Cricetulus griseus: one gene and its partners. The protein of the gene in region 1 interacts with the protein of each later gene in a biochemical or structural test. Links are inferred from orthologs where the notes say so. Each region holds a gene or a part of one and is shown on either strand. Other genes may lie near its edges.

Evidence for each region.
Region 2: the proteins of Oip5 (region 1) and Mis18a form a complex in vitro, tested with the Homo sapiens proteins (3 studies listed by BioGRID). The link is inferred for Cricetulus griseus from reciprocal best matches to the Homo sapiens genes OIP5 and MIS18A.
Region 3: the proteins of Oip5 (region 1) and Hjurp form a complex in vitro, tested with the Homo sapiens proteins (2 studies listed by BioGRID). The link is inferred for Cricetulus griseus from reciprocal best matches to the Homo sapiens genes OIP5 and HJURP.

The regions. Positions count from the first base shown.
Region 1 is NC_048599.1:58,864,378-58,874,749, reverse strand, and holds Oip5 (protein Mis18-beta), read right to left. Parts: upstream 6,732-10,372; 5' UTR 6,649-6,731; coding exon 6,348-6,648; intron 6,114-6,347; coding exon 6,047-6,113; intron 3,738-6,046; coding exon 3,615-3,737; intron 2,102-3,614; coding exon 2,020-2,101; intron 1,716-2,019; coding exon 1,620-1,715; 3' UTR 1,611-1,619; intron 1,167-1,610; 3' UTR 877-1,166; downstream 1-876. Other genes in the region: Nusap1 (nucleolar and spindle-associated protein 1), read left to right, coding at 6,988-7,080. UniProt on the Homo sapiens protein: Required for recruitment of CENPA to centromeres and normal chromosome segregation during mitosis.
Region 2 is NC_048597.1:7,010,438-7,020,712, reverse strand, and holds the start of Mis18a (protein Mis18-alpha), read right to left. Parts: upstream 6,233-10,275; coding exon 5,839-6,232; intron 4,807-5,838; coding exon 4,740-4,806; intron 2,262-4,739; coding exon 2,139-2,261; intron 1-2,138. UniProt on the Homo sapiens protein: Required for recruitment of CENPA to centromeres and normal chromosome segregation during mitosis.
Region 3 is NC_048595.1:439,833,420-439,843,706, forward strand, and holds the start of Hjurp (Holliday junction recognition protein), read right to left. Parts: upstream 6,007-10,287; 5' UTR 5,887-6,006; coding exon 5,791-5,886; intron 5,660-5,790; coding exon 5,593-5,659; intron 3,207-5,592; coding exon 3,151-3,206; intron 963-3,150; coding exon 872-962; intron 726-871; exon of another isoform or gene 701-725; intron 1-700. UniProt on the Homo sapiens protein: Centromeric protein that plays a central role in the incorporation and maintenance of histone H3-like variant CENPA at centromeres.

The DNA of each region.
Region 1 (10,372 bases):
AAGGTTTCTCTATGTAGTCCAGACTGTTAAGGAACTCCCTCTAGACTGGCCTCGAACTCTGAGATCTGCTTGCCTCTGCCTCCCAAGTGCTGAGGTAAAAGGAGTGCACCATCACCGCCCTTCATACATATCTATTTTATATAAGCAAAAATAATTTCTAAGAGCTAGGCATGGTAACTTGCACCTATAATTCTATCACTCAGGAAAATGGGAGCAGGTGAATGTCTATAAATTCAAGGTTACCCTGGTCAACTTAGCAAGTTCCAGGACACCAAAAGCTACATAGAGAGACCTTTCAGCACTTGGGAGGCAGAGGCACGTGGATCTGTGTGAGTTCAAGGCCAGCCTGGTCTACAGAGCGGAGTTCCAGTTCAGCCAGGGCTACATGGAGAAACCCTGTTGCAAAACCAACAAACAAAAAACCAAACCAAACAAACAAAAGACAACCAGGCAAGTATTTATCAGTATGTATATAAACGGTATGTACAAGGACCATCACTATTAATCACATCTTTTTTTCATGGCCAACTGTGTATCTTTACATCACTGGACACAAGGGTTACTGAATGCTAATTAGTAATTAGTAGTAAAAGATGTTTTCAGAGATGAACATTATAGATTCAATATACTATAAAATAAATAGGGTCTTCCTTCCTTCCTTCCTTTCTTTCTGCCTTCCTTCCTTCCTTCCTTCCTTCCTTTCTTTCTTTCTTTCTCCCTTCCTTTTTTTGTTTGAGACAGGCCTGTCGTGGAATTCATGCTGTAAACCAGGCTGGCCTCAAACTCTTGAGATCCACCTGACTCTGACTCCTAAGTGCTGGGATTAAAGGTGTATAGCAGCAGCACCAGCAGCACCAGCACCCAGCCAAAGTTAACTTTTTTTTTTTTTTTTTAAGTAATGGAGTCATAATTTATTAAGGAAGAAAAAATACTCCCCAAAGTAAGAGTGGGCTGGTGGGCTGGAACAAGGCATAGGCTCAAAGGCATACTCTACAACAATTATTTGGGTCAAGTAGGGATTTTGGGACAAGTTCTCAGGAAGCTTAGGTTGACCTCAATTCAAAATGTAGGCAAGGATGTGTTGAAGTTCTGGTCTTCGTGCTTGTATTCCATGTGCAGGAGTTACAGTCATATGTCACCACATCTGCAATCCTCTCATTCTAGTGCTATTTAAAAAGATAAAAGACCAATCAGGTGTGGAAGCAGAGGCAGGAGGATTCCTGTGAGTTCCAGGACAGCTAGTGAGACCATGTCTCAAAAACAACAAAAAGAAAAGACCAATAGGGACTAGAGAGATGAATCAGCTGCTAAGAGAACTTCCAGTTTTTGCAGAATTTAGTTCTCAACACCTGTTAGGCAGATAAGAATGGCCTACAACTCCAGCTCCAGTGAATCTCATCCCCTCTTCTGTCCTCTTCTGTCCTCCATGAGCATTAGCAAACACGTGTCACAGACAGACAGACAGAGAGAGAGAGAGAGAGAAAGAGAGAAATCTAAAAAAGAAAAAGGAAGGAAGGGAGGAAGGAAGGAAAGTAGGAAGGAAGAAAGGAAGGAAGGATGAGATGACCAATTGGTCCTGTTGTTGCAGCTGGGAGGGACTTCTGTACTACCTTGTTTCTTCAGTTTTCTTGGTTAGAATGGTCAGGAGTCACGTCCTTCAGAATCTTTATCAGTGAATTTAATCGAGCGTGCATTAGCATTATCTTCTCTTTCAGCTGGGAAGAGACCGATTAAAGATTTCTTATACTCTCTCAACCCTCAGTTTGCAGGTTATAATGTCACCAGTTTAAAAATAATAAATCTTTAAAAAAAACAAAACAAAACAACCATGCACAACACACACACATACACTTAAAAATTGCCTATATTAAGGAAAAGGATATAGCTCAGTTCTAGAACAGGCTGATCTACACAGTTAATATGAGGCCAGTCAAAGTTACAAAGTAAAATCCTATCTCCAAAAAGAAAAAGAAAAAGAAAAAGGTTTTGCATATTAAGTAACTACACAACCAAGTTTACCTCTGCAATCTTTTCTGGTAGAGGCACATTGTGAATATCCATCTCAGATGCACTTACTATTTCCTTTGTTTTTAAGAGATAGCTAGAGAGAAAATATATAAAGTATTAATATCATTTCCAAGAAGTACCATCAAAGCCTGCCTTAATGGCTCCAAGGATCATGGTATTTTTTATTGGAAAAACAAATTCTCAGTTAAAACCAAAAACTTTCCCATTCTCAGAGACAAAATTATCTCAGGAAAACTGAAAATGAATCCAGAATCAAATTAATAACTACCATGTGTAAAAAAAATTCACTAAAGGCTGGGCATCCCATCTCTTGGGAGACAATGGAAGCTGGGTGCTGGAATCCAAACTGGGTACTATGATCGAGCTGTAATTTTAACTACCGAGCCATTTCTCCAGCCCTTTCAGTTTCTTGTAATAAAACACCTTAAGTCAAATGTTTTATTAGCTAGGAAGATGATGAAGTATCCAATGAATCTATGGGAAAAGTAGTAAATGAGATCATAGTCAATACTATATTCTTCATTTCATTAATCTTTTTCATCAGGTAAGATTTTTTCTGTATCTGGAGTAAAGTGCAGAAAATACTTACTCCAAGAGTAGTGCATTCACTTTCCAAGTTCAGCACCAGTATCACCTAAAAATGACTGTAGGTCGCTGCGTTTAATATTATCAACTGACAGATCTGGGATGACATAGGAGACAAGCCTCTATGAGGAACGATCTAGATTAGCTTAATCTAGATGTGAATAACACCAATCCATGGGCAAGAGTACAGGACTAAAAATAAAAATGAAAAAGTAAGGGCTGGAGAGATGGCCCAGCATGGTTAAGAGCATTAGCTTCTCTTCCAGAGGACCTGGGTTCAATTCCCGGCAACCATATGGCAGCCCACAACTGCCTGTAACTCCAGTTATACCCTTACATATACATACATGCAAAACACAAACGTACACAAAAATAAAACTAGATCATTGGAGAGAGAAAGCAACCTGAGGATTAGCATTAATCTCTGCTTCCTGACTGCTGACACAATAAAACCAGCCACCTCCTCCATGGCTTCCCACCATGATGGACTGCACCCTCAGACTATGAGCCACAATAAGCCCTCCCTTCCTTAAGGTCAATTTTGTCAGGTGTGTTGTCCAGTCACTACACAAGTAACCAATACAGCCCTCATTTCAAATTCCTAGGGTAGAAAATTTGATTGGCTTAGTGGGTCAGGTATAAATATACATTTCCTTGAGGTTGGGTACCACGTGGGCCAAATCCTATATATGAGAAGGGTATGAGACACAGCAGTAAACCAAGTAATCTTGTACAAGACTATTTTACAGAAGCATACCTTCCAGAATAACCCTTAATGAAAGAATACCCTTAAATTACTCTATGTGACTATTAAGACATGGTACAATAAAACATCTAAAGTAATCATGATATTTATCACAAGATTATATTTTGTCTTTATTTAAGGTATGTGTATAATAAACAGTGCCTGGCCTTTTGCATTTTCTTTGGTTATAAACACCTTGACTTTTCTAGAAAAGTTTAAAAACCTGATTTGATAAATAATATCTCTGTCTACTCACCACACCATTTTATCACAGGAAAGGCAGAAGTGACCTCTCAAGGCAGCCAGAGCAGCATGGGTGGAATACAGATGGAAACCAACAGGAACCCCACAGGAATTACAGAAGAGTAGATTGTATGTGCTGGTGGGAATGGAAAGAAGCAGAATATAACATCAGGAAAACCCAGAACAGAAATAAAAATCACCGCCTTCTGATGGCAGTGTCTGTTATCCTGCCACTCAGAAGCCCAGGCAGGAGGATCTCAAGTTCAAATTCACAGGCTTCCAAAGACAGCTGGGATACAGCAGACTCTTGTCTCAAAAAAACAAAAACAATGGGCTGGAGAGAGGCTCAGAGGTTAAGAGCACTGTCTGCTCTTCCAGAGGTCCTGAGTTCAATTCCCAGAACCCACATGATGGCTCACAACCATCTGTAATGAGATCTGGTGCCCTCCTCTGGCCTCCAGGGATACATGCAGGCAGAACACTGTACACATAATAAATAAAATCTTAAAAAAAAAAAAAAAACAAAGGTCATAATTTATGACAAAAATTAATTTCTGTACTGCCTCCGATCACTTGTACAGTCCATGGCGCCCTACCTTATAAAGAAAATTACTACTGTCCTTAAGATGTTTGGGGTTTTTCTGCTCCATGCTATAGAGTTAACATAATATAGCTTGTTGGGCCCTGGATCATGAACACTGGAGGACTTAAGGCATTTACTTCTAATATGTAAACAAATTGTATCTCCATTTCATTATATAGAACAAGGTCAATTAGATTTTAATTTTTTTTTTAAGATTTTATTTATTATGTATACAGTCTTCTGCTTGCTCGCCAGCAGAAGGTACCAGATCTCATTTAAGGTGCTTGTGAGCCACTATGTGGTTGCCGGGAATTGAACTCTGGACCTCAGGAAGAACAGTCAGTGTTCTTAACTACTGAGCCATCACTCCAGCCCCTAGATTTTAATTTCTATTCATTGTAATATTCCATCAATCTGGAAGACAACAAGTCATAATAGCAACAGGCAGTGAAGTGGAATATTTTCCCCTACTCTTTTTTGTTTGTTTGTTTTGTTTTTTGTTTTTTTCTGAGACAGGGTTTCTCTATGGCTTTGGAGCCTGTCCTCGAACTAGCTCTTGTAGACCAGGCTGGTCTCAAACTCAGATCCACCTGCCTCTGCCTCCCGAGTGCTGGGATTAAAGGCGTTCGACACCAATGCCCAGCCTTATTTATTTGTTTTTTTGAGACAGGGTTTCTCTGTAGCTTTGAAGGCTGTCCTGGAACTCACTCTGTAGACCAGCCTCTGCTTCCCGAGTACTGGGATTAAAGGTGTGTGCCACCACCACCTGGCTTACCAGGCTTTTAAAAAGAGATTTGGTGTAGGTTTCCATATATGAGAACCCAGCACTTGGGAGGGAGAGGTAGAACTGTAAAGTCAAGGCAAAATCATTATTTTTTGTGAAATTAAGATATTTTACATAGCTAAACATATTAAAAATGTCACTTCAGGAGCAGTGAGATGACTCAAGGGGTAAAGGCACTTGTTGCCAAGCCTGAGGAACTGAGATTAATTCTTGGGACCAGCATGGTGAAAAGAAAGACTCCTTCAAGTTGCCTTTGAACCTCAATATATATGCCAAGCCCCAAGACCCCCAACCATACTTACACACACACACACACACACACACACACACACACACACACACTGTTTATTTATGGTTTTTCAAGACAGAGTTTCTCTGTTGTAACAGCTCTGGCTGTCCTGGAACTCACTGTGTAGACCAGCCTGGCCTGGAACTCACAGAGATCCACCTGTCTCTCTCTACACACACACACACACACACACACACACACACACACACACACACACACACACACACACCACCTGCCAAGCACTGAGATTAAAGGCATAAACCACCAGGTGAGAAAGGACTCCTATAAGAATAGGAATGTGTCTTTCAGTTTGGCAAAGTGGAATAGAGGTATGGTTACAACTTAGTTTTGGCCTCATAAGCACAAATTTGCTGAGTACTTTATTGCTATGGGGAAAATATGGGAAGAGGCAAATTACTAGTAGTACTGAAACACCAAACATTCAATTGTGTTTCCCCAGTTTCAGAGATTATTACAGAATTAGTTCTGTTATGGTTTGTAATATAAACTCCAAGTTAAATTAAAATTTAAATAGTCCTAGTTATCTCACAGGATGTTTTAGTCCTCAGATGTTAAAACCTACACCCAACTCTAATTTTTCTTTCATTAATGCCTTGTTGACATGTTTCAAACGCATAAAAAATGTACCATCCAAATATATTGTATGGAGAGAATAAACTTTTGTCACAACAAAAATAAAGTTTTTTTTCTTGTTTACGACAACTACATAGTCCTCGGTGTCATTAAATAAGGAACTATAGATCCTTCTCAGGAATTCTCCGCACGTACCTGCATTTGAGAGAACCTTCAATGCCAACGAGACAGGGCTCTAATAAAACGACATTGTTCGTGACTCCTGAAAGACAAAAGGGTTTTGAATAGGAAAACCGCCCACCAGATTCATCCTGGTCATAAAAGTCAACAAAACGCGTGGGGCTCATCCAAAAGCGCAAGCTTAGCTCACGCGAGGTCGGTCCAAAGTTTGATTCCCAGCTCCGGAAAACAAAACCACGCCTCCCTCACCCAGCTCGTTTACGATCCCACAGGTCGGGATTACCCTTTCTCAGACGCCAACCCTCGCCTCACTCACTGGAGAAGGCCACGGTCCCGAGGGACCTCGACAGGTCCCAGGCGAGATGCACGGTGTCGGCGAGCACCGCGTGGCAATGCGCGCAGTGGAACACGGCGCACCTCTCCGGTTCCAGCCACGCAGGCAGCCGCAGGTCGACCGGTGACGTCTCCACCTCAGTCTCCGGAGGACCTAGAGGGGAAGACCCTGACACCACCTGAGTGTCCCACTCCATGGAGGTAGCAGCAGAAGGCGTGTCACAAGAGTCACTGCAGCACGGCGACTCGGGGGACGGGAGGAGGCGCCGCGAGCGAGCCATCATTCTGAAGCCGGCGCCTCTTTTTGTACGCTCGCGCCAGGTTCCACCGAAACGAAGTTTCCTGCATCCTCGTTGGACAACATGCCCGTAAGGCACGCCCACAAGCCGTCGAGCGCCGCGTATTCATTGGTTAGGCTTGCGCTATTGCGCGCTTCAGCAGCTCTATTGGCCAGCATCGGAAAACCCCACCCCCGAGGCGTTCAACCAATGGACGTGCAGCAGCCTCCATTTAAAATGAATATAAAAGTCGGCTTGTCAACGCCTTGGGTGGCGCCAGTTTTGAACGCTGCTGTTTGAGTCGCCTGGTTGTTTTTCTGGGTGTCGCCGGGATTGTAGAACGCGATGACCGTCCCCTCTGCAGAGGAGTTGGACTCTTTCAAGTACAGCGACCTGCAAAATTTAGCCAAACGGCTGGGCCTCCGGGCTAACCTGAGGGTACGGTGCTGGCTGGTGGTGCGGGCAGTTGGGTCGGCGGGGTAGAAGAGACCAGGGGTGTGGGGGTCACGGGGCGAAGGGACAGAGAGGGAACCCCCGGGGGACTCTGGTTTTGGGTGAGTAGGTTCGGCTCACGTTGGCTGGAATCTGTTAAACGAAAGAGAAGATATATCTGTTATTTTATTTGGAGGCAGGAACTCATAAAGGCCTCTTACTAGAAACTCTAATGATAGTTTCCTGCTGCCAGAAGGAAACACAGACCCATAAGACATAATCAATGTAATGTCTAATGCCTGTTATTAGAAAAAGTTGAATTGGCTCCTGGAAATTTCCCAAATTACTACTTTTAAGTAAACTGTGATAGTAGTACCTACAATCTTCTTGGGCCTTTATTTGGATGCCAAGCCATGGGGATATAGTATGATCGCTATAGTGATGGTGTTCTTTTTCAAAACCGGTTAGGACTTTTGCAAGGTGTTCAGAGAAAACGTCATTCATTGTGAGACTGGGGCTTGCTATGTTGGAGTTGAGATTTCCCACATGTGTACCCCGTAGATTTGTACAGCAAGCTGATATTTACACTAAATGTCTATTCAGTCATCACAAATATTTTTAAGTGATATAAACAGAATAATGAGACCATAGATGCTCCTCGAATCTGTCTGAATGGCAATGAAGAGTACTTGGAAATGTTTCTGAGTTACACAACTTTAATGAGTAAAGCTTAGGCCCTCAGGTATTTGCTATCTTGTGGATTTTTTGTTTGCTTTTCTTTTTTTCCCCAAGAGATTATTTTTTTATTAGTTCAAATTGGAAACAAGGCTGCTTCACATATCAATCCCCTCTCCCCTTCCCCCAGCCCCCACCTCATCCCCCTCTGCTCCCCAGGGAGGGTAAGGCCCTCCATGGGGGTTCCCCAAAGTCTGTCATATCATCCTGGGCAGGGCCTAGGCCCTCCCCCATGTGTCCAGGCTGAGAGAGCATTCCTCCATGTGGGATGGGCTCCCAAAGTCCCTTCTTACTGATTCACTACTAGGGGCCCCATAGAGTGCCAAGGCCTCCTCATTGACATCCATGTTCAGGGTTATGGATCAGTCCCGTGCTGGCCTCCTAGACACCAGTCTGGGGTCCATGTGCTTCCATCAGCCACTGAATGAGGGCTCTAGGATGGCATATAAGGCAGTCATCCATCTCATTATAGGGGAAGGACATTTAGGATAGCCTCTCCACCATTGCCTAGATTGTCAGTTGGTGTCATCCTTGTAGATCTCTGGGAATCTCCCTAGTGCCAGATCTCTCCTTGAACCTATAATGGCTCCCTCTGTTATGGTATCTCTCATTCTGCTCTCTTCTATTCTTCCCCCGACTCAACCTTCCTGCTCCCCCATTTCCTCCTCTCGCCTCCTCTTCTCCCCCTCTCATTTTCCCAGCTCCCTCTCCCCTACCCTCATGCTCCAAATTAGCTCAGGAGATACTGTCCCCTTCCCCTGCTCTGGGGTCCATGCATTCCTCTCTTAGAGTCCTTCGTGTTTCCTAGTTCCTTTGTTGATGAGGATTGTAGGCTGGTAATTCTTTGTTCTATGTCTAAAATTCATATATGAGTGAGTACATACTATGTCTTTTTGTGACTGGGTTACCTCACTCAGGATGGTTTCTTCTAGTTCCATCCATTTCAAGATTCCATTGTTTGTTTTTTCTGCTGAGTAGTACTCCATTGTGTAAATGTACCACATTTTCTCTATCCATTCTTCAGTTGAGGGCATCTAGTTTGCTTTCAGGTTCTGGCTATTACAAACAATGCTGCTATGAACATAGTTGAACATATTCCTTGTTGTATGAATGTACATTCTTTGGGTATATGCCCGAGAGAGGAATTGCTGGATCTTGAGGTAGACTGATTCCCATTTTCCTGAGAAACTGCCATACTGATTTCCAAACTGGTCGTACAAGTTTGCACTCTCACCAGCAATGGAGGAGTGTTCACTTACTCCTCATTCTCTCACTAGGTAGATCAGACTGGCTTCAAACTCTGAGAGAAAAGTGTTTGGGCTGGGCGTTGGTGGTGCACGCCTTGAATCCCAGCACTTGGGAGACAGAGGCAAGTGGATCTCTGTGATTTTGAGGCCAGCCTGGTCTCCAGAGTGACTGCCAGGATAGGCTCCAAAGCTACACAGAGAAACCCTGTCTCGAAAAAAACAAAACAAAACAAAAAAGTAAAAAGTGTTTGACCCTCAACTGTATACCTCAGTGTAATAGGGAAAAAAGAACCTAATAAATATACTTGATGTTTGATTGTTTTGAAATAGGGTCTCATTCTGTAGCCCAGGTTCGCCTAGAAATCTCAGGGAATTGCTGTACCTGACTACATTTGACCTTTTAAGAAAGAAAAGCCATGGGAGCTGGAGAGATGGCTCAGAGGTTAAGAACACTGGCTGTTCTTCCTGAGGTCCTGAGTCCAATTCCTGGCAACCACATTTGTCTCACATCCACCTTGAATGAGGTCTGGTGCCCTCTACTGGCCTACAGAGCACATGCAGACAGAAGACTGTATACAGAATAAATAAAATCTTAAAAATAAAAAAAAAAGGAAAGCTAGACAGATCAGTATTTATCTTCAAGAAAAAGAATAGGGAAACTGTCCTAGAATGGAAAGTGAGTCCAGGACTTCCCTCTTTCCCAAGGACTTGTAAGACCCTCACTACAGGATACCACCGCCCACAAGAGAAACTCTGGCCCAAAACAGATTCCCTAGTCAACTTGATATTTCTGCTGACTTACTTCCTTTGTAGGTTTTCATCCATCTCTACAGTCCAGGCCACAGTTTTGATTTCCTAAGCATAGAGTTGGTCATCTGCTGTCCTGAAGCTAACTCTTCAAAGACTGTTCTTTGCTACAAGGACGAAGTTTTACACTCAAGAAGCCTACAGGGCAGGCCTAGCTAGCAAAATTAGGATCCTAACTGCTTTCAACCCCCTGACACACACACACACACACACACACACACACACACACACACACACACACACAGGGTTTTTCTGTGTATTAACCCTGGCTGTCCTGGAACTAGCTCAGTAGACCAGGCTGGCCTGGAACTTACAGAGATCCAACTGCTTCTGCCTCCCAAGTGCTAGTATTAAAGGTGTGCGCCACCTCCTGGCTTACCTTTCCAACTTTTTTCTCACCCTCTTCTCCATTGGGTCAGTGTTCCAGCCATGCTAAACTTAGTCCTCATCTGTCCTGTTGTTTTCTTTCCCTTATTTTTCTCCATCTTGTCCTCTCTGTTTGACACTGT
Region 2 (10,275 bases), on another chromosome or scaffold:
CTGCTCTATAACATGGAGCACCACCTGCTTAGTGGATTTTAAATTTTCTATTTAAACTTGGCTGGTTTTAAAAGATGCCAAATACAAAGTTATCAATTAATAACTGGATAAAATTACTGTTTTAAATTTTTTAAGGACAAGAATTTAAGATATTAAGGTGAGTGGTGGTGGCTCATGCCTTTATTCCCAGCACTCGGGAGGCAGAGGCAGGCGACCTCTGCGAGTTCTAGTACAGGCTCCAAAGCTACACAGAGAAATCCTATCTCAAAAAACCAAAAAGAAAAAAAAAAAGAAATTAATCATGATAAAAGTACTCAAGTGAGGAAAGTATAGTCATTTTCTTTTCTTCTTAAATTGTCCTTTCCTGACACAGGTCTTAGGGTAGCATCTTTACAAGGATGAATTAAGAGGCATTGGTCGGTATCAATTGATCTAATTTTGTATTTCCTATTTTAAAAGGCCAATCGGTTGGAAGATCATTAAGGCATCTGCGATTGTCCTGAGGGTAAGGTTTCCTGAATCTAGCACTTTTTTTTTATTTGGCCACCCAGGGCTTCTGGGATGAGCTAATCCCCAGTGTAGGGTAATTCCAATAAGCATCAGATATGTATTTATTATACATATATTATACATGTATAATAAAACAGCAGGTTTCCACTGGGCTTTTCCAAATGATCAAAGAAGCTGTGATGGCTGGCGGCTTCTAAGAGGGAGTCAGTTTCTTTAAGGGTGTAGCCCTGGCAGTGGACTGTGCCCCAGTGGACAGCCACACACAGGAGCATAGAGGCAACAAATTGGACTTGAGAGATTATTTAGATTAAAAAAAAAGAGGCCTGGAAGTTCTAGAGGGAGCAGGTGGGGTGATGGCGCTGGGAGAAGTTGGGGTGAGGGGGTGAGTATGAATATGATCAATACATTGTATATGAATATGATCAATACATTATATGATACGAATATAATCAATACACTGTATATATGAATATGAAATTTTCAAAGCACTACTAAAATTAAAGGTGATCTGAAATTAGGGGCCTGTGACACCCAATTCACATTGGTTACTAATGCTTTTTAGAAATCCTGTAGAATACAGACATTTCCTTGCATTTTTGAAAGAACAGAAAACAAAACAAAAACAAAAAAACCAGACAATTGTTTATTATAGTAAATAACTAAATTTACTAGAATACCAAAGGGACTGCTTTCTTAACCAATTTGAAATGCCAATTCTTTGTGACATTCTTTTGGGGAGTCAGAGGGGATTCTAAGTCTCATGGCTCCCAAGGCCAGCTCTCTACCTAGCTTCAAGTCCCAATCCTCCTGCCTCACCTGCCAAGTGCGAGACTGCAGTGTACACCACCACACTGAGTTCACGGCGCTGGGCTCTGAGCCCAGGGCTTTGTACATAGCGCACGGAGCTACCACCCCAGCCCTGCCTCATGATCAGCTGAGGCCGCTGTTCTCAACCTGTGGGTCCTGACCCCTCTGGAGGTTGAGAGACCCTTTCACAGGGGTTGCAGATCAGATACTGTTACAATTCACCACTGACCTGTGTTAAAGGGTCCCAGCATTAGGAAGGTTGGGAAGCACTGTTCTGAGAGGTTGATAACGGAAGTGTGGACAGTACATGCTGGTCCACACAATTGCTTAGAAACATCTTGCTAGGCACACTTGCACACATGACCGCAGCCTCCGGGAGGCAGAAGCACCAGCTAAGAGCATGCACTGAAACTTGTTGTGGCGCACACCTGTAAGCCCAGCACTCGGGGGCAGGGGCAGGCGGATCTCTGAGTTTGAGACCAGCCTGGTCTACAGAGAGTTCCAGGAGAGCCAGGGCTACACAGGGAAACCTTGTCTCAAATACCCAGAATCAAAAAACAAAAAATAAAAAAACAACTCAATCGCTTTCTCCTTTTAAAAAAAGTCTCACATTTTCTCCTGTAACTTAAGTGTCTGACTTTCCCAATACCAAGTGAATTAGACACAAAGGGTGACTCACTGGCTTTACTGTCAGAAATTATTATTCAAAAACATATTTGGACCCAACAGTGTTGCTTTAGCATGGCTGTTCTCATGCCAATCTCTGCAAACCTAACTGTGAGAAATCAGTCATGAGGCAGCCACTTATCCAAAAAACCTACCTTTCAATGGCTTCGACACTGAGGCAGAACAAGTCCCTCTTGTAGTCTAGGTTCTTGGGAGTGCATTTGTACACATAGCCAAGGCTGAGGGAGCAGCCTGTACAGGACAGAGTCTCAAGAATGCTGCAATAAAGACACAACACCACTTAGGGGAAGAGTAGCAATGAGCAGGATTGCTAAGTCCACAAGCTGAGGCTGGCAAGGCGGCTCAGCGGGTATAGGTGCTTGCTGGCAAGTGAGAAGGCCTGAATCCATCCCCAGGACCATGTGTGAAAGGAGAGTTGTCCCCTGACCTCCACAGACACACACACACACACACACACACACACACACACACACACACACACAACACACACACACACAGACACACACACACACACACACACACACAGACAAGACAGACACACACACACACATACACACACACACACACCCTCTGAAACAAATAAAAATCAAACTAAACTCCATTAGCCCCGAGTTGCTTCAGGTGAAAAATAACTATCTTCCTATTGTTTTCCTTTTGTGGTTTCTTCTTGTTGTTTCTGGGTTTGTTGTTGCTGTTGCTGGAGACAGGGTCTCACTATGTAGCCCACCCCAACTTCAAACTTTTGACAGTCGTCATCCTCCCCCAAATGCTGGGGTGACAAGCATGCACCTCTACAGCCAGCTTTATCCTGACTGTATGGAGTCATATATATACATGCATACATACAGTGTGTGTGTGTGTGTGTGTGTGAGTGTGTGTGTGCGTGTGTGTGTGTGTGTGTGTGTGTGTGTGTGTGTGTATGTCTGTGTGTGCGCGTGTGTCTGTGTGTCTGTGTGTGAGTGTATGTGTGAGTGTGTGTGTGTCTGTGTGTGTGTGTGTGTCTGTGTGTGTGTGCGTGTGTGTGTGTCTGTGTGTGTGTGTGTGTGTGTGTGTGTGTACACGATAAGATGACTGCAGGAGAAATGTGGTCAGCTCTGAGCCACACTACTTCTTGCAACAGATGACAAGAAACATAAACAAAATGCCAAGGCAGGGTTTTCCAGAATATACAGTCCTTGATCTGGTATTAGAAAAACTATCTAAAAGAGTCAGCACATCCTTTACAATGTCCAACCAATCACCCAGGGTCATCAACGCTCTAGGTAGGAAGGCAGGCAGTTTCCCTGTAATGAAACAGAGAGTGAGTATTCAGGCTTTCAGGCCACCAGGGGTCTGGTGTAAGCACCATGTACACATAGCAAAGTCAGACACACAGAACCCAATAATCTGCTCCCCTCAACACAGCCACACAACACAAGCCCAGCCAAGGCCAGGCGTGGTGGCCCACACCTTTAATCCCAGGACCGGAAGGCAGAGACAGGCGGATCTCTGTGAGTTCGAGGCCAGCCTGGTCCCCAGAGCGAGTGCCAGGATAGGCTCCAAAGCTACACAGAGAAACCCTGTCTCGGGAAAAAAAAAAAAAAAGACAATAAAATCTTTTTTTAAAAAAGAAATATAAAAGCATCTTAGAGGCTGGAGAGCACAGTGGTTAAGGACACCAGTTACTCTTCAAGAGAACCAGGTTTGGTTTCCAGCACCCACATAGTAGCTCATAACCATGCAGAACTCCAGTTCCAGGGGTTCTGACACCCTCTTCTGACTTTTGTGGGCACCAGGCACACATGTGGTGCACATAGGCATAGGCAGGCAAAATACTCACATACATGAAATAATAAACTTTTAAAGAAAAAAAAAACCATCTTAGTAGATCCCAAGTTGAAAACCCCACCTACACTACCAACAGTGAACAGGTAAATCTATATATATATATAGTAGCTATGTGTACAAGCTGCATAATAATTAGGAGGCTACAACACATTATCAAGATTGTTAATCGAGAAAAAGGATTTAGAAAAAAACCTGAGATTTGAACTCCTAGGATATACCGATAAGTGGATAATCTGAATTTTCAAATCAACCACGACACCATACAGGAGGTCATGTGAGCCCTCTGACATCTTGGTATCGTTTGGATGTGGTCTGTCTTCCCCTGAGCTGCTGAACTGAGACAGTGCACAGCCTTCAGAACCAGGGTCTCCTGAAGGCAACTAAGACTGGACAAGTCATCATGGTGGAGCCCATGACTAAATCCTGGTGGCTTTATAAGAAGAGGGAGAAGACCAGAAGAGACACACACACACCCAGGACTGCTGTGTCTGTGACTGAGACTGGTTGTTTATGGCCACACATGGCTGCGTGTACCCAGTCGGCTGTGGATGGGCCCTGTGTTAGTATTTCCTATCTGTGTCAGGACATGGCAGAGACAGGCAGCGCTCACACTGACACGGCCCCTCAGGCTTTGAGACTTTAAAATAGACATGCTCTGCATTTACTTTCCCTTTTCTTCAGCATCAAACCCAAAACCCTAAGACCAGGGTTAGCTATACCTTCAGAAACCTAGAAACTTCCACTCTCCCATCTAAAGGGCTATCCCCACTGTGCAATGGATTTTTACTTTTTATATGTGTTCAATTACCATGGAAAGTTATGTCACAAGCAATCTCACACAATGGTGGAAGACTTCTTAAAACTAAACGTTTTCCCTGACATAATATCACAAAAAATACCTTACTTACCACCCGTCTTCATCTTTGCACTTGGACAGCTTCTGTTCTTTATCCACAGACACATTCGAGGAGACACCTGGAAGAGAGCGGCATCGCTTTATTAGTGTGGTCGTAAATGTGAATAAAGCTAAGTAAAACATTCCAACTGGGGCAAGATGAAATTAATCTGAAAGTTAATTAATATTAACTAACAGAATTTAATCTAAAACTTAATCTTTTTTTATTTTTTATTTTTGGAGGCAGGGTTTCTCTGTATAGCAGCTCTGGCTGACCTGGAACTCGATTTGTAGACCAGGCTGGCTTGGAACTCACTGAGATCCGCCTCTGCCTCCCGAGTGCTGAGATCTAAGGCATGGGCCACAATCGCCCAACCTAAAAATTAATCTTTTAAAAAACACTTTTACACCCTCCTGCAATTGTTAAAGGGGTGATTCCAGTAAATCCCTGAGGGAAACTTCGGCTCCTACAAAGAAAGGATTATTATTAATGTGGGGTAAATAAACACATCTATAACCGGTTTATCCCAGTTATATTTTAAAACCTAACAACAGTATTACTACATAAAGAAAGCAAGGCAGAAATCAGTATGGTGGCTCCTCAGAAAATTGGGAATCAGTCTACCTCAAGATCCAGCAATCCCACCCTTGGGCATATACCCAAAGGAAGCACAGTCACACCACAAGGACATTTGCTCAACCGTGTTCATAGCAGCACTATCTGAACAGCCTGAACGTGGAGGCAACCTAGATGCCCCTCAACCGAAGAGTGGATAAGGAAAACCTGGTACATTTACACAATGGAGTACCACTCAGTGGTATCCGCAGTGACATCTTGACATTTGCAAGCAGATGGATGGAGCTGTAAGGGCCATGGGCTAAGGGAGCCCCTGCGATCTGAGAAATCCTGACACTCCCCTGAAGGAAGCAGCCAGCGAAAACGCTTGCTACATCCGAATAATGCCCATGAGGATGCTTGGCAATGCCCTTTGGGGGATGGCAGACCCCAGAAGGAGACCCGTGGTCACTCGGGAGCCACCCTCCTCCCGTCCGCTCCCCGGGAACCGGGGCCCTCGTGCCGGAGGCTCGCCCCAGGGGCCGCCCGGACTGACAGCGCAAGAGGATGCAGTTGTTGTCCTCCTGGCTGGTCACCCAGGTCAGAGAGTCGCCCAGCGGCCGGCGACAGCGCGCGCACAGGAACACCAGCGGGTTCTCCCCGGCCGGGGCCGCCTTCTGCTCGCACCGCCCCGCCCCGGCCTCCGCGCCCGACATGCTCGCCCACGTCCGAAGCAGCAGCGGGCGGCGGCTCGAGTCTTCCGAGAGCCGCTTTCCCAGCAGCGAGGAGGGCAGGCCAGCCCGGGAGAGCACAGGAAGCCGCCGGCCAGCACGAATCTGCCGCGCTCCGGGGACCCACGGGAAGAGCGCCGCTGCGCACGCGCGAGGACCCAGAGGCCCGGCTCCGCCCGAGGGGAGGGGCCTGAGGGCCCGGCAGCTGCTAATGCGCATGCTCGGCGTCCGGCTGGGCGGGCTGGGCTCACCGCGCCTGCGTCCTCCGGTCGCTCTAGGCTGGGAGGCCGAGCGGGAGTGTCAGCGGGCGGCGGGCGGGCGTGTGCGAGCGTCTCTGCTGCTCCGCCACGCCACCGTCGAGGATGTTGAGGGTCTCAGGAGCAGTGGCTCGCCTGGCCCTTCCCCACCCTGAGCACCAGTGCACACGCCCGTGCTGGGGTAGCTGGGCGGGGGCGGTGCACGCCTTTAATCCCAGCAGAGCTAGTTCCGGGACAGCCCGGTCTACACAGAGACACCCTGTCTTGAAAAACACAAGCAGACAAACAAAACAAATTGCGTCCTACTTTAGTGCCTCTCGCCACTAGCAAAAGGTTTCGAATCCAAAGTCTTCAGGTTGACCTAGGCGCTCCACGAGGTGGTTAGCAGTCCGGGAAACTATTTTGGCTTCTCTGAGTATGGTTTTGATTTTATTTTGTTTGTTTGTTTTACTGAGGCGGTTGTCCTGTTCTGGCTGCCCTGGAATCTACTGTGTAGCCTACCCCACAGTGAGTCTCCTGCTTCCGTCTCCCGCGTGCTAGGATTACAGGCCTACCTTGCAGATTCTTCGTACTAAATGATCAGTAATCCTCTGAACTATTAATGAGGACAAACAAAGGAGAATGTGTGAGGATAGCATGCTTGGAGAAAGTGCTTCAAATCATTTAGGATTTTTCCTCCCAGGGAGTTGTCCTTTTTTCTACTGCTTTTGTAGAATGCCCGGCTTCCCCCACACTATCTGTGTCACGTGAGCAGTTCTGAAAGGGGAAAACTAATCTCAAAGGCTTCACTTCTAGGAATGAAGGGACCAGACCCTCACTCAGCCCCCTGCTTTAGCAGCCATGACAGGCTACAGAAAAGACACTTAGGCTTCTGACACAAGGAAACTCCAGATCCTCTGGCCTCCCGGAGCCTAGGGCCAAAAACAGGATGTAATCCTGTAGCTTTTGTCTTGAAAACCTAGCAGTAGACAGGGAATTTCACTTCCTCTGGAGGCTGCTGCATCAGCTAGCCAGACGGGGTCCCTGTCGTGGTTGGATTAATAAAGCCTTGCTTTTGCAGTTTGGTGGGTCTATCTGTCTTCCTGGTGGTCTCTGGGGGATCTTTGCAACTTGGGCACAACAATACAACCCACATGAGTTATCTACCCACAGGTAGCATCTTTGGAATTGAGTGGGCAATTGTCCACCAGACTTTGGGATCCCATGGTCAATACTTAAAATGCTACAGTAGGGTACCCAGTATCGCAGGCCTTCATCCTAGGCGATTGCATCTTGTTGCAAGAAGCATAGCTCTCACCTCAAAGTGGCTAAGGCAGAGTTTATTATGGAGCCAAATCTAAGTGGCCATGCCCAAGAACACAGATCTCACATTCCAATGTGGCATCAGTTTTATGAGGTTTTAATTGTGTGTGAATGGGGCACAGTAAAGAAACCGCCAAAACGGCCCTTTTGTCAATTAAAGAGGAAGGTTTTTATTGTAGATAAGAAAGTATCTGGAGGCATCTGGAAAAGTTCAGAGCAGAGAGAGAAAGCTGCAGACTGGCCCTGGCCCTGGGGTATCTGCAAGAAAGGGGAGAATAACAAAAGAGAACGGTGCAGATGCTGAGATGGAGGGCAGTGCAGGGTGTGGGGGTGCCATTACATAGAGAACCCGTGGGTATCTGGGGGAGGAGACCTGGGACTTTGGGGTAGAGGAGGCGGTGAGAAGGGCCAGGATGCTGGAGTTGGGGGCTTGAAATGTGTGGCGGTGAACAGGGACCGGAGGAACCTGGAGGCCAGCACAGGCTTTGATATGCCACCACAGACACATACGTCCCTTCTGCCAGAGACGCAGGGGGATGACTACTTCTGGAACCTGTTTCACAAGTTCCTGAGGAATCTGGCTTTTATTTAACTGCCAGGAATCCTTCTGTGGTCCGGCTTGGGGTGGGTCAAGACCTGTTATTTCGGGATATATGCACTTTCTGAGACTTAACATTGAGGTAATGGAACAGAGAATGCCACAAACCAACCACCTTTTCAAATATGCTGGCAGGTATACCAGGAAGGCAGGTTACAGCAAGGCCATGGGAGCCCTCTGCTGTAGACCTCCAACGCGGTCTGGTCGTATTCTTAGCATTTGGGTTGGAGGCTAGGGATCTGTTTGTATATATCAAAGCAAGTGTTTATGTAAGTCTCAAGGATGTGGCCTCACACAGGAGGGCAGTAGGTGACCATGTAAGGGGACTAAAGATAACCCCAAATAACTGGGCTCTGAACTTGACAGCATTCCCAAAGTCATTGAAGTTCTGGTCCCTCTATTGGCCTTGGTGGTCTCTGCCTCTTTCTAGGAATTATCCTTCAGAGTTCCAAGATCCCTGGTGGAGGCAGGAAATAGCAGTCATTGCCAAACACTGTAGAACCCGTGTTTTGCTGAACTTGATGGGGTGGGAGGGGAAGGGAAGGAAAGAGAGCTCAGAAAGAGAAAAAAGACGAAATTAATGGCTGAGCCCTTGACCATTTTGCTGGGAGAATTGTGGATTGATTTTCTTTACATTTATTTAAGGGGGGCATGCAAATGCTGGAGGTCAGAGGACAACCTGGAGTCCCTTCTTTTCTTCCTGGGGCTTGGACTGCTGAGTACCTTTAACCTCTGAGTCACCTCGCCGCCCTGATTGCGGATGCTCACAAGTGCACTGGCAGCTGAGGGAAATGAGAATTAATAACTGCTGATTACAATCACAGACAGATTTTAATTGCATGCACTTCCTAACACTTGCACACCAGAATGACAATACGATGTGATTGCAGGTCCCCAGAGGCGGGTGGCTGACTTCTCTACCAGGCAGGTTTGATTGCAGCCGCATTCAAAGACCGTTTAGATGTGGGTGGGAGGAGAGGATCCAAATGGTACCCAAGGCTGTCTTCTCTGATCAGTGGCACCACGAGAATGGCACATTGTGCTCTCAGCCCCCAAGGACCTTCTGTCACCATAAAGAGCTCTTCTTAGGTGATACAACTCACCGTAGGGTAAGCCGGACCAGGGCATGGAGTGATATTTATATCTATGTTCCAGATGGAACTCAGGAATGTATCTCACCACTGTGTGGCCCCATCTTCTACTCTGGACAACTAGAAATCAAGAAACTGAGTTCAAAACATGCTTGTTTGTTTGTTTTTCGAGACAGAGTATCTCTGTGTAATAACCCTGGCTGTCCTGGAACTCGCTCTATAGACCAGACTGGCCTCCAAATCACAAAGATCTGCCTGCCTCTGCCTCCCAAGTACCGGAACTAAAGGCATGCACACCACCACTGCCCGGCTCGGCAGGATGTTCTTTAAATAGTGTTTCTTCTCTCTTCTATTTGATGAGTGGAATCACAATTTTCCAGTCCTTAACCGATCCTTGGTTCTCGAGAAAGTTAAAACAAGTAGGGAGAGGATGGGGTTTTCAGTAAACCCATACATAATACAGCAGAGCTGAGAAACCCACATGTCTTCACTAATGCATCTTGTTCTAACGATGAAAAGGTTGAGGTCCACGGGGGTCATGAGCAACAGTTGAGATGACTGTCAGAGATTTATGAGAGCCTGGACTGTTAACTATTGAGCATAGCCCTCCCCTTCTAGAAAAGCTGCTCCCTTCCCCCAAAGAAACACCTAGAAAGAATAGCGTCACCATCCATATCTTGGTTATGATTTTAACCGGAAAGAAACAACGCTAGCAGTCAAGGTCTTGGAGACATTTGTTAGTATGAGTTTGCATTGTTATCTCAGAGATGAATGGAACTCATGAAGAGTCATTTCTTGGGACTGGGAAAATGGCTCAGTCAGTAAAATGCTTGCCATACAAGAATGAGGAACCGAGTTTGATCCTCATAACCCATGTTTATAAAAACAACAAAACAAACAAACAAAAACCCAGCAACACTCAATGTACATGGGCTCTAGGGGTTGAACTCAGGCCCCTTGTGTTTGTGAGGCAAGCAACACTTTACCAGTGGAGCTGTTTTCCAAACACAAGTG
Region 3 (10,287 bases), on another chromosome or scaffold:
GGGCTGGGCCACTGGACCAATAAATGTGGCTAATCAGGCCGAGGGACAGATCTTTTTAACAAATAATTCACTAAAACACCAACAGGATGCTCATGGCCCCAACATCTAAGGCACCACTTAAACCATTTTCAGTGGCTTAAAGCAGTTGGGGGGTGGGGGTGAGGGATGGATCTAAGTGGTTTGTGGAGCTAGGATCCCCAGTAAACAAGGAACCCTGGCAAGCAGCATGACCACCTTCTCCCTGCTCTCACCTGGGGAAAGAAAAAAAAGAAAGAAAAAAAGAAAAAAAAAAAAAGGCTTGCTCCACTCTTCCCCAACAGGGACTCACTGTGTAGCCTTGGCTGGCCAGGAACTCCCTGTGTAGATCTAGCTGGCCTCGAACTTACAAGGATTCCACCTGCCTTTGCCTTGCAAGTGCTTGGATTAAAGATGTGTGTCAGCACACTGGGCTCCAGACTAAAGTTCTAAAGATAGGCTTCAGCCAGAATGTCTAGGGAGTGGGGGTATTTTTCTGTGATTTGGCTGCAAAGGGATTGAATGGAGGGAGCTGGGGAGACAGGAAGAGCACAGCCTGGAAGCCTTGTGGAAGGGAAGGAAGCTGAGGAAGGAAAGACAGATACTGGCTGCAGAGGCGGGAAAGGAAGAGGTCATTTCTATAGAAGCAGGTGCTCCCATCATCCTTAGGGACAAATCCTAAGACCTGCTAAATGCTGACACTAGTGGGCACGACATGGATCCCCATCTTCCAGAGACCTAGGAGAACAAGAAATATACATAAAACATTAACAGTGAGATACCTCACTGTAAACTGCTGTAGTGGAGACAAGCTGGCCTCGTCCCTAGCCTCCCTTTCTAACAAGGTAACACTTACCATCTCCCGGGACTTGTATGCAGGGCTGTAAATGCTCACTGCTGTCTGGAGCTTGCCTGTTTAATCTGGTAATCATCCTCATAGAAGAGTCCTTGGGGTATAAAAATCAAGAAATACAAGCTTAATCAAGTCACAACATATCTCTAGCCACTGTGTATCAACACATTCACAATCCTAGTGGGACACACCAGGGGAATAACGGCTTTGCAATTATCTTCCTGTATGTGCTTAATGAAGGGCCTCAAGACTTCCAGAAGATGGTAGAAAATTCCACTGGTCAAGGAGAGGCTACAGCAGAAGTCAGGAACCCAAAGGGCTGACCTGGGATCTACAAGTATTGTAGTGTCTGGGGCTGCTGCAGTTCCTGCTGGGTGGAGCCACTGAGTATAGTCAAAGGGTCACTCCTCTGGGGAGGACACTTCCACTCTCTAAGGCCTGTGTTCACCAGGCTCCACTAGGAAGGCGCCAACAAGTGCTTATTAGTAAGTGCCAGCACTCAACAGAAAGCTGCTTACATGATTTCAGATGGGCCCAGGGAACCTGAGGTGGCCAATCACCACCAAACTAAGTGACTCCTGCCTCCAGGGACATCACTGCAAGCTAAAACCTCAAAGTTTTCAGCTTAAATTTTATGGCTTCCAGTGTCTGAAGGGCAGAACTTCTGACATTCATGGAAGCAGCTGGTCCTCAGTACCCACTACTGTTTGTCTGGCACCTACAAAGAGGGCCCATGCCAAACAAACCAGTGCAGGGCAATGGGGAGTCCATCTTAACTTCCTGTCTCCCACCATCCTCAGGAGGGCAATCTTGGAATCAGCATAAACACTTGGTCATGGGCGGAGATCACCAATAATAAACCCCAGCAACACTGTAGAAGTCCTCAGTTGTAAATACAGGCTATGCATGTCCACTTTTCTAGTCCTAAGAAAAGCTCCAGCAGTTTTACAGACCTCAGGCAGAGGGTCTCCTACATTTTAAACAAACACCTCAAATAAATAATTTTTTTGCTACCAGAATTACCATTCTAGCACTGGCTGTCATGTGTCCTCTGGCCCTGAGTGAAGGTGACACAGAGGGTAGGGCAGGCTGCTCCTTGAGGACCATGTAGCAGGCTTAATAAGCCAAGCCACAGATGTGTTCACTTTCGCCCCCTGGTGGTTCTCTCATAACAGAGCTGAACAACAATAACAAACACATGGCTGGCACATCCTGAAGCACTTACAACATCTTTGCAGACAGAGCATGCTGATCCTGATTCAGAACAGGAAGGTACAAGGGCCAAATGCCTTGGAACTGATCAGCAGTTAAAAGAAAAAAAAAAAAAAAAAAAAAAGAAAAAGAAAAAAAAAAGACAACTATGGAACATGGCTGTAATCCTAGCATTCCAGGAGGCCAAAGGAGGACTGATGTCAGTCTGAGGCCAGCCTGGGCTACACAGCAAGTTCCATGTTAGTTTGAACTACAGTGTGAGTCTGTGTCTCAAAAAACAAAAAGGCAATCAGATTATACAACAGCTGGTGAAGACAAGGATCCCATTATTGATGAACTAGAAAGGTGTATGAGGTGCATTTACAGACAGGAACTAAAATGGTATCAGTGATTACATGCACAGCAGTCAGCTAACCCAAGTGTTCTAGCCTTCCTATGGCTATAATAATCAACCAAGGAAGCTCAGTTTCAGAATTTCTATTAATGCTGTGTAACCTTAATCTTGATGTTCCATTGTGGGTAAAAGGTTTCCCCAGGAACCATGGTTGCCCGAGATTCATTTAGACCAGACAGTCTTATAGTCATTACCAGGGCAAAAAACCACACAGTCTCACAGCAGGAAGGCAAACTATTGATGCCATCCAGGAAACCAGTATTCAATCACTAGCTGTAGAGCCCTGGTGCAGGGAAACCCTGCAGAAGGGTGTGTGATTCTGCACTCTCGCCTCTTCATCCTTCTGCTTCCTGGTTTCAGAGGATGAAAGGGCCATTGTTTTTATCAAAAGAAATGAGATTTGGTCTTTTTTTGTAAGGCCCCAACAAAGGAGTCTCTAGCTGGTCTAGTACACAGTCTGCAGGTCCCCAATCTGGTCCAGCATCGGCACACATGAGACGGTTCTGAGGGCCCTGTGAACTACGATGGAGAAAATTTAGCACACAAGAGCCAGGCAACAGAAGAAATACCTGAGGTGGGTCTCTCGAAGCTCTCAGCAGTGGCCTCAGGGCTCACTCACACAGGGATTTAGTCAACACTACAGTAAAGCATTAAAGGTAAACTTGACGATAATTACCTGAGTTTGTTCCTTGCTTTTTTCCTTTATCAACTTTCCTCCCCAAACTCTCAATCCTTAAAAAAAAATGAAGATGACAATTGAAGGAATCCAAAATGCTCAGTTGCACTGACAGAAAACCAAGCTGGATGGCACAAAAGGCTGTACACTAAAAACAATCCAGGTTTTGGCAGTGTTGGACAAACCTATCATTAATGACAATTCTCTCCTACCCAGAAGGCAGCAGCTTACCTGATTTCAGCACTAACCTGAAGCGCTAAGGACAGTTCATATTCTAAATACATACTACATGCATATTGACTGGAGAGGGGGCACATATACCATACATTTACAGAGCAAGCATTCCCCACCCCCTCCCTGAGACAAGGGTTTCTGTCTAGCCTTAGCTGTTCTGAAACTCACTCTGTAGACAAGGCTGGCCTTGAACTCAAAAAGATAAATCTGCCTCTGCCTTCCCCAGTGCTGGGATTAAAGGCGTGCACCACCACTGCCTGGCTTAGAACAAGGGTTTTTACAGGGCATTTTTTGTACCCCATCCTTGGCTTTCCTAGGGCAATCTACTGGCCTAATACAGAGAAGCCTGCATACAGAGAACTCTGGAGTTCAAGTGCACCGTCCCTGTCACTCACTAGCTAGCAGAACCTGTGCAATATACTCCTTCTAAAGTTACTAAGAAAGAATGGTGGGTTTTGAGGTATGAGATGACTGTATTATAACAGAAGCATAAAAAAATTTACACAGCACTCTCTATGCTCCAGATTTTTACCAAGGAGACACCATTTAGTACCCACAACCCATCTGCATGTAACTCCTACACCCACCCAGAAGCCCACGGGGAACAGAGACTTAGCATGTTTGCTGTGGACAGACACGCAAAGGAAAAGGAAGTTCAGACGACTAGCCCAGGCTCTCCACTCATGTAGAGGAGCCAGCACGTGACTTCTGGGAGGTGCTGACTGCACTTGATCACTGTACAACACAGTCTTTCCAGAAGACAGCGATGCTTGAGTATATGGGTTCATGAGTCAAACTGAGGCTTTGCTGCCCTGGCTGAGTGGCCCTCTCTGTGGGAATCTACCTTTGACAGCAATGGTTTTTAAAAGGGGCTTCTACTGCAGGGTTGAAACTGGACTTCACAACTTCACAAGTGCAGGCACAGGTGAACCATCAACACAGGCAAATGAATCTATTCCTGCTGCTGCTGCTGCCACAATCACTGTCTTTGATGGGGGTTCATGCTATTGCACAGGGAGGGTCAGGAGCATCTTTGGAAAGGCCATGCCAAAGACTCTCTCAGATTAAGTAATGGGACGTTGGGACTCATGGCATGAATACAAGCTACGAGCTTGCTAGGATGCAGAGTTATTAACAATTGCAGCCCTAGGAGTCCATGTGCTGGCCAGTTCTCAGGGAGGGCCCTTTATATGCCAACACGGGATGGTCTCAAACTCTTCAGATACTTCACTGTTGTTCTCATATAACTGACATCAGGTTTTCATGGACAAAATGAGTGTTATTCAAGATAGATAGACTGTCCAAAACATTCCAGACGCTGCCCACCCCTGCATGAACAGTCACAAGAACACAGAGAAGCCTACAGACAGACAGCACCCTCAAAGACCCCTGTATTACTGTATCCAGATCCCACCCAGAGCAAAAAAACAACCTGCTGCAGTATTATTTCTGTTTCTGTGTAAAACTTTCACTGAACATGTGCCTTGAACAGTCAAAAAGACAAAGGGCAAAGACTGCACTTGTCAAAGAGTGGGTTCTATAGACTCTTGGCAGACTGTGATGTGAAATCAGATTTTATTACTAAATGATGAGTCTTATGGAAGGAACTAACCTCATCAAATGCAAACACACCCCAGTTAAAGAATCCAAGCAAGAGGTGCCAGGCGTTGGCGGCACACGCCTTTAATCCCAGCACTCGGGAGACAGAGGCAGGCGCATCTCTGTGAGTTCGAGGCCAGCCTGGTCTCCAGAGCGAGTGCCAGGATAGGCTCCAACGCTACACAGAGAAACCCTGTCTCGAAAAAACAAAACAAAACAAAACAAAGGTTTAAGGCAGTCCACAACATTTAATAAAATGGCTCCGGAGAGGCAGACTGATGGACTGTCTACAACAGATGGGTCCGAGTTACACAGCACAACTCGTGAGAGCCGAGCAGTTCCAATGGCTTTGCAGGCACTCCGGTACCCATGGTTGTCAACGTCCTTTTTACTTTACGGAGACACTGTGCTGCCTTTAAGCAATTAGCTCGGGCTTCCGCGCCGGGCGTTTAAAAACTCAGGCTGCATCTGTGTCTCCGGGCATTGCTTTTAGAGAAATGACTTGGAACTCAGCAACTCACGGTTGCAAAGTGAGGGGAACAAGTGCCGCGTTGCAAATTCTAGACCCCACCATTCTAGCACACTGCCAAGAGGAGGAAGGTTCCGTACCCTGGGGCGTCTCGTAGGTCAGCGTGGACATCTGCACCAAAGGGTCGTCCTCAAAGGGCTGGTTGTACTGCGGGGAAAGAGAGCTGCTGATCAGATCCTCGGCGCTGGATCCCCGCCCGCCCGCCCGCTGCCGCTGCCGCTGCCCGCTGCCCGCGCCCGCTGCCCGCTGCCCGCCTCGGCCAGCCCAGCCCAGCCCACCTTCGCTATCAGCCGATGCATGAACGTCTGGAAACGGTTCCGGCTTTCCTGGAGATGCCGCAGCAGCCTGTTATCCGGCTGGTCTTTAGGATCCATGGCGCAGGCCGCTCACAGCCTGGAATCCGCACAGTCCAAGCCGGCGCACAGATCAAACGGGCCGCCCGTCGCGCTGATAGGGCCTTTCAAACGTATTTACGCAACCGATCCTGCCTGTGCTTCCGGTCGCCTCTCCCAGGGAGCGCTTCCGGCGGAAACGAAGGAGGGAGGGCAGCCGGAGAGGGTGGAACATGCGCATTGCGTCCCCATGAGGCACTCCCGCGCCCTCTAGAGGCGCCTGGACGAATTGCCTGCGTGTCCCCGCGGGGTCCCGGAGGCGGTCCCTGTCCCCATCCTTTTGGGTCGCCAGCTTGGAAGGGCTGAGAGAAAGACAGCGCCAAATAACTGTCCCGAAAGGAGTCAGGAAAGCCAGGGTTCATAAATTCCAACAAAAGGCACGTTTAAAGGTGCTGACAGATACTATGAATGTGACAAAATCTATGGTTTTTATCCTAGGGTTTTGATCAACTCCCTTTCCAATTTCTGATTATATACTGTTTCTTGAGAGGACTGGTAATTAGGTGTCCATTTTATGAGGGCATTTACTTTGGTTGACATTTTAGAAATGTTTCACATAAGTTTTTTTGGATTTTGTCTTCTTGTGGGGTTGGGGGATTGAACCCTAGTTTAGGATGGTTTTACTCTGTCTTCATAACAGTTGCATTTGTGTGCTTGTGTTGGTGTGAGTATCTCAAAGTGGGTGATAACGGAATCATTACTGAGGACCTGCACCATAATCTTCCCACGCTGTCCTGTTGAAGCTGCAGAGGGAAGAGGCTCTGGCAGGCGCATGGGCTGTGGATGTCCGCACAATGTATTTGCTGCAGGCACAGAGAGAGGCTATCAAGTCGCTTTCAAGATGCTTAGCTTAGGGCCCTCAGTTGTCTGACTCTCTTGGCGTTGTTTACTGATGGGGGCTGCACCATCCAAACTGCCAGCGTGACCCTGGCCCATGGGGGGATGCGAAGGCTGTGCTGTTTGAGTGCAAAGGGGGTCAACCAGACACAGCATTCGGCCCCCCAGTGCCTCCGTGTCTTCCCCGTCGCCGTGAGCTGAATTTCTCTGAACTGAAAGCTAATATAAATCTTTCCTTCCTTAACTTGCTGTTTTTGCTAGGTATTTATCACAGATAATTTTGAGGAAAATCAAGTAAAGAAATTACATAAATGAAACAGAACAGATACTTTTGTCCTAAATGTTTTTATATTAGTGAAGATATATACAATTCAAGGATCTGCTATATTTTATTAATAAAAATAGTTTTAAAATATTTGATGCTATTTACAAGCCATATTTTGCTAATTATTGAAGGAGTTTTCAAATATAGTGATGTGAAATCTGGTCGTGAAGGTTAAATATTAAGTATATACAGGCATACATGCTGGCAGAACACTGTATACATAATAAATAAATCTTTAAAAAAACATGTTTGTGCTTTGATGTCATGAAGCCACATTTTGAAATCTAAGCAATTAAAAATGTTGACAGGGGTTTAGCCTAGGGATATTTATGAAGCACTAACCACATGTTCAATACTCTGAGGGTGCTGGGTAACTTAGTTGCATACCATCTATGTTCCATTAAGTTTTTGTTCTGTTTTGGTTTATTTGTTTGTTTGTTTTTGTTTTTTTTTCGAGACAGGACCAGGCTGGCCTCGAACTCACAGAGATTCGCCTGCCTCTGCCTCCCAAGTGCTGGGATTAAAGGCGTGTGCCACCAACGCCTGGCCTGTTCCATTAAGTTTTAATGGTATCTAAAGTGAATATGGCATTTAAGTCTTAACCGTAAGTTCTAAACATATACATTATATGCCTGTACTTTTCAAATGTCTGGATGGGTCTGGAGAGATGGCTCAGCAGTTAAGACTGTGTGCACCTCTTGCAGAGGAACCACGTTCAGTTCCTGGTGCCTTTGTCAGGCTGCTCACAAACACCAGTAACTCCAGTTCCAGAGGATTTTCTGACCCCAACATGTACCCACACTCATGTGTAGATGCCTGCCTACACATAATTAAATATAATAAATCTTTGAAAAATGTGTATGTTTTCACAACTTGAGTGTGCATTTAGGAAAATCTCCATGATATATTCAGACCAATGATGGCATAATAGAATATTTTTTTGTTACAAACTGTTTGGCTTATTGAATATTTTTAATATTAGCTTTCTCTGGCCACATTTTCCAGAATGGGTGCCTGTTATGCAATGTGAGGCTGTGTTATTCATGGAATAAAAGAACACAGACAAACAATCACTTGTTTTTCCTCTGGTTATACAAAATTAGAATATTTTTATCCCAGTGAGACACATAAGGCTCCAGACATCCTAAACCTGTCTCCATGCAACTGAGCCATGTTTTATCATCATGGCACCTCACCTCTCCAGTCTTACCCAGAAGTGTTTTTTTCCCTGAAAAAATAGGGCTAAGGCTTTGGTGATATTTCTGCTCTACCTTCAAGTGGTGGGAAATTTTTTTCTTCTTCACCTTGGGTTTTCTGTAACACAAATGCATTCTTAGGGTCACAATTAATGTGTTTTAATGGGCTACACATTTTAAAAATCAATGGAAGAATTTACATCAAAAATAGAACACAATTAGATTGATTTGAGTGACCTATTTTTAATCAGCCCCATTATTTATGGATCTGAAAATTCTCAGGACATCTTTCTCTGGAGCATGCAAAGATCAGCCCTTGTGGTATTATGTGTGAATAGTTTTAAAATAGGAGTCTCAGGGTTAATTGATAAATTGCTAAACATGCTTCCCCCTTTCTGATTTTCTAAAGATCGGGTCTCATTCTGTAGTTTATACATTTTTTCCTTTTTTTTTTAACCGCTCAAAACTGTCTATTGTAGGAATGTTCTAAGTTTGCCCTCTGGCCTCTTTTCCTGGTCTAGCGGCCCAATGCAGTTCTTTCCTCCTCCCATGGCTCACTGGGGTGTTCTAGTTGCATTCCTGTTGATGCGATAAGCCACTCTGACTGACAGCAACTTGGGAAGAAAGGATTCTTTTCAACTTAACAATTTCAAGTAGCAGTCTGTCACTGAGGGAAGTCAGGACAGAATCTCAAGTAGAAACCACTGAGGAATGCTGCTTACTGGTGGCTGTCTCTCTCTCTCTGTCTCTGGCTTATATGTGGAGGTCAGAGGACAGTTTTGGGGAGACAGTTCTGTTGTGGAATTTTAGTTTAAGACTGTTACATTTGTTTATGCTGAGGAACATTTATTTAATGATGCAAAGATGTGTTGCATTCTTTTATGTTGCATTTGTTTCACTCTGTAAAGCTGTGTTAATTTGCCTGCCCCAAGCACCTGCTTGGTCTAATGAAGAGCTGGATGGCCAATAGCCAGGCAGGATAGGTAGGGCTGCCAGGCAGGGAGAATAAGTAGGAGAAATCTAGGTTCCAGAGAGGATTGGGGAGTGAGGTGGACACTGTTATGATCCATATCTTACAGGCTGGAATCTATGTCTGGGGGTTGAGAATGTCGGGTGGTGAAACCTGTCCAAGGTCCTGAATAACTGATGGAGATGGAGTTTGGGCCTCAGCTCCTTTAAGTGTGAATATTCTCTGGGAATGTCAACTTTCTGCATTTCCCTTGCATTGAGGTCAAGGGGCAACATGATTTTGATTCCTAAAGCTGGGGAAACTGGCCTCATTTGTTTGTTCTTTACATTGAACACAAGGCTAACAGAACAGAGACATGGCATCCCATCCTTTGAATGAAAACGAAAACAGCAAGATTTGTTGTTTTAGTGTCCCAAAGCTAAAGGGGGGGGTGACTTGACATATTTGACACCATTTTTGGAATGAGAGATGAAATTTCCTTCACGATTCTTATCTCTATCTGCATAGTGTTCCCTGTGACACACTGGACTCACTCTTAAGAGGTGAATTGTTACACGTGAGTGTGGTCTGCCAGGCACAAACTCTAAGCAGTTATATTACGGATCTACTCTCTGTATCTGCCTCTGGGGATAAAAATGATATAATGACAAAACAGATCACTCTCACTTGAAATAATCATATAAAATTTCCACGCAAGTGATTTTATGTTATCCTTGAACATTCTGAATGTACAGAATTAATGTAAAGGACCAGAAAAGAACACAGCTGTACCCACCAGCCTCCACTTTGGTATTTAAGGACACATTTTTAGTCTTACACATGTTTAACATCTTGCATTTCATATAAGCCATAATGTTATATTTCACATCATTTTATCAGAAGCTTGTCTCCAATTTTTATTTAGATAAATTTAGTCAGGCTTTAGATACTGTTTTTATGCAGTAGCATTATCCTTTGAGTCACAGCTCTGTGGATTTTGACAAAGGTGTGCTCATAACAATGGTGAAAGATCAAGCCTTTGAAAAGCTTCTTTATTCCCTTCATCCATCCCCCAG